2 linked regions of the Macaca mulatta genome follow. The protein of the gene in region 1 purifies or fractionates together with the protein of each later gene. This does not show direct contact. Links are inferred from orthologs where the notes say so. Each region holds a gene or a part of one and is shown on either strand. Other genes may lie near its edges.

Region 1 (3,815 bases):
GTAAAGTAACTTTTTATCAATAATTAGAAACTGATTTTCATTGCTTTGAATAAGCATAGGCATACTTAGCCTTGCCAAAAGTAATTCATTTTTATGCCAATACCTTTGGCATATTTCCTATCTTCTATTGTTCTCTTCCCACTTATTTTTTCACTTGTCACTTGTTGTGTTTCTTTAGATGGTGAGCCAAAGTCTGTGGTAGGGGTGATTTCCATTTCTGCATATTACAAAGCAATTAGCATATTGTTAATATTCAACAAAAGCTTTTGCTGTGCTTCCTTAGCTGGCGTTTTGGTTATCTGATAGTAACTGGAGAAAATGGTTTTCCAATTTTCTCCAATTAGAGTAAGGAGAATGTCATATTTAGTTAAGAAGTACCTGCTTTAAACATCATAGAAAAACTGCATACATTATAATAGCAATTGCTTTTCCAATGTCTTCATTCCATGATCCTGAGCCAATTCAACCACACGGTTTCAGTTTTTGAGAGCCTGAGGCACTAACCTTGGTTGATATAATGTTTTCTTTCTATAGATGTTCAGGCAGTTGCTTATGAGGAACCAAAACACTGGTGCTCTATTGTCTACTATGAGCTCAACAATCGTGTGGGTGAAGCTTTCCATGCCTCCTCCACAAGTGTGTTGGTGGATGGTTTCACTGATCCTTCCAACAATAAGAACCGTTTCTGCCTTGGGCTGCTCTCCAATGTTAACCGGAATTCCACTATTGAAAACACCAGGCGGCATATTGGAAAAGGTGAGTTTTTGCTTTAACCTCTTTCGGATGTTTATCTGTTGTGTCCCTGTTCCTCCAGAGCTGACTTAAAATCATTCCTGTAACAAACTAGTGTAGCAAAGACCAGGTAATGTTCACTTGCTGCAGTTTGTAAATATTTTTCCAGTTTCTGCTATCTAGAAGCTCTTGCAGTCAGTGATTTTTGTGGTCGATCAACTCTCATAATATTGAAATTAATTACTTGAAATTATGATTTGCCATTTTAAGACACTATTCTGTATGATATTTTGCTACAGAATAAATTGGCTGTTAAAAAATGAATTACAACCTAAAATTAAAAGCAAATTAAATTAATTGCTTAATTGTATTTCAGATGAATACCATAACTCAGTAAATAGAAAAGAAAGAACTAGATTCTAGCACAAACATCGTGCAAGGTGGCACAATAGAACCCTGCAGTGAATGTACCTTCACAGGGACACCAAATTGAACAACTGTCCATATAAGAAACTGTCCATATAAGAACAACTGTCCATATCCTCAGCCTAGGCTGAGTGGAATAGATAGAGTAGGGGTAGGATTTCAAATAAATCCCAAATTCTTTTTAGTAAACTTGATTATTTCATAGCAGTATGAGTGAAACCATTCTGAAACTTTCATATGTAAAGATGAAGCAAATGACTAAATGTGTGGATATTGTTGGGAGCCTGGGTTTCCACTGTGGAAGACAGACATATAAATGCAGGGGGGAGCAAAAACTAAACCCTATGAAGGAGAATAGAGGTATCAATGCAAAATTCTGATTTTAATAATACTTATATGTGTGTGTGTATGTATGTTTATGTTCTCATGTATTACATATGTGCGTGTGTATGCGTATGTATATGCGTTTTTACGTGCGTATGGTTTCTGATCTGCCTGCTGAAAGGGCCCAGAAGCTTCCATACCCAGTAGCAATAAGCATGTCTAGTGTTCAGATCATCATCACTAATACTGTGTCCCACTAAAAGGAGCTAGGGCTCCTTGAAGAAATGGCTGACCCCTAGGCTGGGATAGGTAGGCACAGGAGGACCCTAGAGCATCTGTTATGGCAGAAAGTAAAGAAATGCTGATGGAAATCATGGGGCATGCCTCAGGAGCCAACTCTCAGACAATTTGAGCCCCCAAATAATTACAGTATGAAGTAAAATTACAGAATTTTACTTCATTTTATTTATTTATATTTTTTTGAAATGGAGTCTCCCCCTATCACCCAGGCTGGAGTCCAGTGGTGTGATCTTGGCTCACTGCAACCTCCACCTCCCAGGTTCGAGTGATTCTTGTGTCTCAGCCTCCTCAGTAACTGGGAGATTACAGGTGTGCACCACCATGCTCGGCTAATTTTTGTATATTTAGTAGAGTCGTTGAGTTTTACCTTATTGGCTAGGCTGGTCTCGAACTCCTAACCTCAAATGATCAGCCTGCCTTGGCCTCCCAAAGTTCTGGAATTACAGGTTGTGAGCCACTGTGCCTGGCCTCAGTATGGCATTGAATTTTACACCATTGAAAAACCATATGAATTCGTAAGTCCATACTCATAATAAATAGATAAATAAGTGAATGGGGAAGGCTGGTTGATAAATACAGAGTGAGTGCTAAAGTTCGAATATCATCATTTTGCAACCATCATAGTAATGATCAGGCAAGAATCATCAATGGATGCTAAATATAAAGAAAATGTGTATGAGAATCAGTATATTTGCATGGTCTTAAGAGTGTTTACCCTCAAACTGCCTTTTAGTATGAGGGAGAATAAAAAGCATTAACTAAACAGTGGAGAAACTGTATCGTTTGTATTTTAATTGTAATTGTATAATTGATGGATGCCCAGTTTTGACTGGGAGATCAAAATTATCATCACCAATGAGAGACAGATGGGTATCATTTACCTCCAGATGTCATACCCTGAGAAGGCCATAACATCACCTACGCAGGATTCCAGCTGAGAATGCAAATCCTAATCTAATCCTGAGGAAATATCAGACAGACTCAAAACATTCTATTAAAAAGGGTGAAGAAGGGGGACTAATTTTTCCAAGATATCAGTGTCAAAAGACAAAGGTATGGAAATGTTCCAGATTAAAAGTAGTTAAAGAGATATGACACCTGCATGCAGTATCTAGCCCTGGATATGATCCTGTACTGAACCGGAGAAAAATATTAATGTTGTAAAGGACATTGTTGAGGTCAGCAGGCAAAACCGAAATATGAATGGTGGATTAGACCAATGTTAAATGTATTAGCATTGCCAACTATACTATGGCTATATAAGAGACAATCCCTATTCTTAGGAAATACTTAAGTAAGGAAGTGGTTCAGGAATAAATTAGTATATAAAGATACCTGTCCACTCACCATCTATCTACCTAAAACCTGTGTTACAATACATACAGACAGACAGACACACACACACATGCATGGTGCGTGTGCAGCAGCAGTGGGGAGAGAGGGCCCAAGCGATCAAGCAAATGGAGTAAATTGTCACAATAGATGCATCTGGATAATGGTTATACGGGTATTCTTTGTTCTGTTTTTCTGTGTTCCCTTTCAAACTTTTCTACAAATCTGAAATTATTTCCGGGGTAAAAGTATGAAACAGTGACCTGTGAAATTTAGAACAGTGGACCAGATTAAAAGGTTATTTATTAGATGCTTTAAAAGCACTCAAGATAAAGTGTAACATTTAATCCTGCGGGAAGAAAACTCCAACTCTTAAATCAGGAATTGGTAGATACTTTCTTATATAACTAAAGGAAAAAACTCTGACTATAAATTTAATAATGAAATGCTAGAACCTAGGTTCATAACATACATAGGTATCTGTCTCTGGTCTGTAAACCTCTGAAATTGTATATAAACAACATTTTGCATACATTTGGGAGGAAAGGACATACTTTTCATTAAATTCTAAAGATGACTCTTATCCCAAAGTAGCAAAAAAAAAAAAAATTGTACTATGGGACATTTCCTCCTAAAACATTATTAAGAAAATAAGGATTCTTGGAATGCTGTTATTTAAAATTGTTCCAGATGCCCTGAAT
Region 2 (3,815 bases), on another chromosome or scaffold:
TCACCGCGCTGTGGCTGTTTGAGCTGAGTGCCCAGCATGGGCACCCTCTGAGAACACACTCGGGTTCTTGGAAAGGGGTTTGGCAGGAGAAGGACGAGGGACTCCGGGCCAGGCTGAGCTGCTGTGGAAGGGGTCTTGGTTCTCCATCTGAAACCTGCTGCAGCCGTGGGTGAGGTCACCCGGAATGGCAGGACAGGGTCCGCTTTGTTCTGTCGGAGATGACCTGTTCCTCAGCACAGCCTCCATGCACCTGTTGCGCGTGACCCAAGGGCCTTTATGCAAAGTGGACTCAGCCTCCTGGGGGGTGCCATGGAATCTGCCTTCTGCACCACTCAGGGTCCTTCATGGCCAGAGTGCCTGGGGCTGTGACTGCCACGCTGGCCACGGGCTGGTGGAGGGACCATGCCCTGGGCACCACTCAGGGTCCTTCATGGCCAGAGTGCCTGGGGCTGTGACTGCCACGCTGGCCACAGGGTGGTGGAGGGACCATGCCCTGGGAACCAGATGTGCCAACAAGTCCTTTCATTGATCGCAGGTTTCCTCTGAGCCCCCGGCCTCCATAAGACCCAAAACAGATGACACCTCTTCCCAGTCCCCCGCGCCTTCCGAAAAGGACAAGCCGTCCAGCTGGCTGCGGACCTTGGCCGGCTCTTCCAATAAGGTGCTGTGGGGCCTGTCAGGGTCCTTGGGGTGGTGGGTGGTGGGTACTGGGCCCTTCTCCTTGGGCAGACCCAGCGGCTGGCGGCTCTGTCTGCCCCCCACTGAGGGCTGGCACCCGGCACAGCCTCGGGGACGTGAAGTGGCTTTTCTCCTGGTCACTCACACAGACGACTCTCTCGACAGAGCTTGGGCTGTGTTCACCCTCGCCAGCGCCTCTCTGCTTTCCGACCCTGGTCCCCCGCGGTGTCAGCGAGTGAGAAGGAGCTCTCCCCACACCTCCCGGCCCTCATCCGAGACAGGTGAGTGGGCACCATTCACAGGTGTTTCTGGCCACGGGGGAGGCCCCACGAGGGCTGTGCACGCGGACGCGCCCATGTTTCTGCAGGCTGGGTGCCCAGACCTGCCGCCTTTTGGTCAGGGCAGTCTCAGTGTTGGTTCCTTTGGCTGGCGTCATGATGGTGAGCACACCTAGAGCGTTCCCTGTGTTCTGGGTGGAGTCGTGGGTGGAGCCCTGTCTGCTGGGCGCAGCCTCTTGATGTGGTGGTCGGCCTGTGTCTGGCCTGTGCGAGATACCCAGCAAGTAGAAAATACTTATGGGTTCTTAGGAACTGAAAGCTTGACTTTAAGAATCAGAGCTGGGAGAGAAAGTCTTTCCTCTGTAACACCTTCAGAGCGGGTGTGTGCCACGATGGGTCTGGGTGGCTCTTGGGGACAGAGGTACCTTCCCGACACCCGTTTGCCTCTCCAGCTTCTACTCCTACAAGAGCTTTGAGACAGCCGTGGCCCCCAACGTGGCCCTCGCACCGCCGGCCCAGCAGAAGGTTGTGAGCAGCCCTCCATGTACTGCTGCCGTCTCCCGGGCCCCCGAGCCTCTCGCCACTTGCACCCAGCCTCGGAAGCGGAAGCTGACTGTGGACACCCCAGGAGCCCCAGAGACGTTGGCACCCGTGGCTGCCCCAGAGGAGGACAAGGACTCGGAGGCCGAGGTGGAAGTTGAAAGCAGGGAGGAATGTACGTGTGAGTCGCTTTCTGTGCCTACCTGTGGGCCGTGGGCTGTGGGCGTGGCACCGGCTGAGGGGGTTGGTTGCCTGGGGGTGCTTCGGCGGCCCCGTGTTTCGCAGGTTCCTCTGGGAGCGGCGCGTCTCCCTGATGTGGAGCTGCCGGGCACTTCCGTGACTTCGTTTCTGTCTCTGCTTCCTCCTCAGTCACCTCCTCCTTGTCCTCGCTCTCTTCCCCGTCCTTTACCTCATCCAGCTCCGCCAAGGACCTGGGCTCCCCGGGCGCGCGTGCCCTGCCCCCGGCCGTCCCTGATGCCGCGGCCCCTGCCGACACCCCCAGTGGGCTGGAGGCGGAGCTGGAGCACCTGCGGCAGGCGCTGGAGGGCGGCCTGGACACCAAGGAAGCCAAAGAGAAGTTCCTGCATGAGGTGGTCAAGATGCGCGTGAAGCAGGAGGAGAAGCTCAGCGCAGCCCTGCAGGCCAAGCGCAGCCTCCACCAGGTGAGCAGGGCGGGTGGCGCTAGGAGGTCCAGGGCGCGGGCGGTGAGCACAGCCTCCACTAGGTGAACGGGCACAGGTGATGCCTCCTCCCTTCCTGGCTGCGCCATGTGCTCCTCTCCGCCTCCACCTCAGTGGGCCTGCCTGGGACCTTGGGGGTCCGTCTCCCGAAAGCTGCAGCTCTGGGTATGGTGAGCCCCTCAGTGTCCCCAGGCCGATGGACATCCCAGGAGGCCCCTGCATTTGGCTTGACCACAGCTTTCCCCATCAGGATCACACACCCTGTGTGGTGGCCCCACGAAGGAAGTAGCCGTGTTCCTCTGGTATAAAGAAGGCCGGGCTATTTTTAGTGGCAGAAAGAGTCGGGAGCAGCTGCACGGAGACAGTTCCTTGCTCTGTGTGCTCCAGGAGTGGGTGTTCACGCGCTCCGCCAGCAAGACCTGGCTTCTGCAAAACAGGCGTGAGGGGTGTGCTTCCTAAAGCCTGGTATTCCAGGAGGCGGCTCCTGCCAGGCCTCCCAAGTAGGAAGGAGAGGGCTCGGCCCGCGCGCACACCCCACCTGCACATGCTGCTTCTCTGGGCTCTGCCTCACGGTTCTCACGCTGCAGCTCCGGTCTCGCGCCTCCTTTTACGTTGTTTAGGTTTCTTTCTGACTTGACTGAGGGAGGCGCAGTTCACAGGCAGGGCTGCCTGCGGGGAGAGGTGTGCGGGTGGCCCGGCCTTCACCCGGCCCCAGCCTCGCTAAATTCACACCTCAGCGGTGTCTGGCAGCTTCCGCGGCGTGGGCTTTAGCACAACACAACCCCGTCGGCCCTCAGAGCTGCAGGGTTGTCGACGTGCCCCCTTGCGCGTGCCAGTCCCTCGCCCCAGCGCGTCCCCCGCCACTGTTGTCCTTGATTCTGGTTGGAGGTGTGATTTCCCACATGCATATTCATGTGGTGTTTGCAGCGTGGGGTGTGAGTCACACGGATATTTTCATGGGGAGGCGGGGGGCTTGTGGAGGCGCCCAGTGGATGGATGTCTCCATCTGGCCGCGTGGGGAGACCCAGGGCCCTCAGATGGTGCGACGTCTGAGGCTGCCCTCCTCACATTGGTGGGAGCCGGGGCCTACTTGGCTGGCTGCCCTCAAGGGGAACATGGCCCTGGATGTCAGGGGAGGGCCCTGCTGCAGCCTCAAGTGTGACTGACTCAGGCCCCCAGGTGCAGCACAGCTGCCGCAGGCCTGGCAGAAACTCAGGATGGGGGTCTGAAAAGCCTTTGTGGGGTGGGGGCACCACACGAGTTGGGCACAGATGGGGCACTGGGGGCGGGGCTCGAGGGCACATTGCCAGATGGTTGACCCCACGGGGCGGGCTGGGGGCTGCTGGCCATGGTTGGGGGGCGGCGCTGGGACCGGCTGGGAAGTGACCCTGAGCCGTCCCTGGCCCCCAGGAGCTGGAGTTCCTGCGCGTGGCCAAGAAGGAGAAGCTGCGGGAGGCCACCGAGGCCAAGCGGAACCTGCGGAAGGAGATCGAGCGCCTCCGCGCGGAGAACGAGAAGAAGATGAAAGAGGCCAACGAGTCCCGGCTGCGCCTGAAGCGGGAGCTGGAGCAGGCGCGGCAGGCCCGGGTGTGCGACAAGGGCTGTGAGGCGGGCCGCCTGCGCGCCAAGTACTCGGCCC

Evidence for each region.
Region 2: the proteins of SMAD1 (region 1) and SKI purify together in Homo sapiens (affinity purification with western blotting, with the first as the bait; 3 studies listed by BioGRID). This does not show direct contact. The link is inferred for Macaca mulatta from reciprocal best matches to the Homo sapiens genes SMAD1 and SKI.

Annotation. Positions count from the first base shown.
Region 1 is NC_133410.1:154,118,739-154,122,553, forward strand, and holds part of SMAD1 (mothers against decapentaplegic homolog 1), read left to right. Parts: intron 1-534; coding exon 535-756; intron 757-3,815. UniProt on the Homo sapiens protein: Transcriptional modulator that plays a role in various cellular processes, including embryonic development, cell differentiation, and tissue homeostasis.
Region 2 is NC_133406.1:238,373,494-238,377,308, reverse strand, and holds part of SKI (ski oncogene), read left to right. Parts: intron 1-535; coding exon 536-661; intron 662-843; coding exon 844-959; intron 960-1,408; coding exon 1,409-1,677; intron 1,678-1,865; coding exon 1,866-2,158; intron 2,159-3,586; coding exon 3,587-3,815. UniProt on the Homo sapiens protein: May play a role in terminal differentiation of skeletal muscle cells but not in the determination of cells to the myogenic lineage. Functions as a repressor of TGF-beta signaling.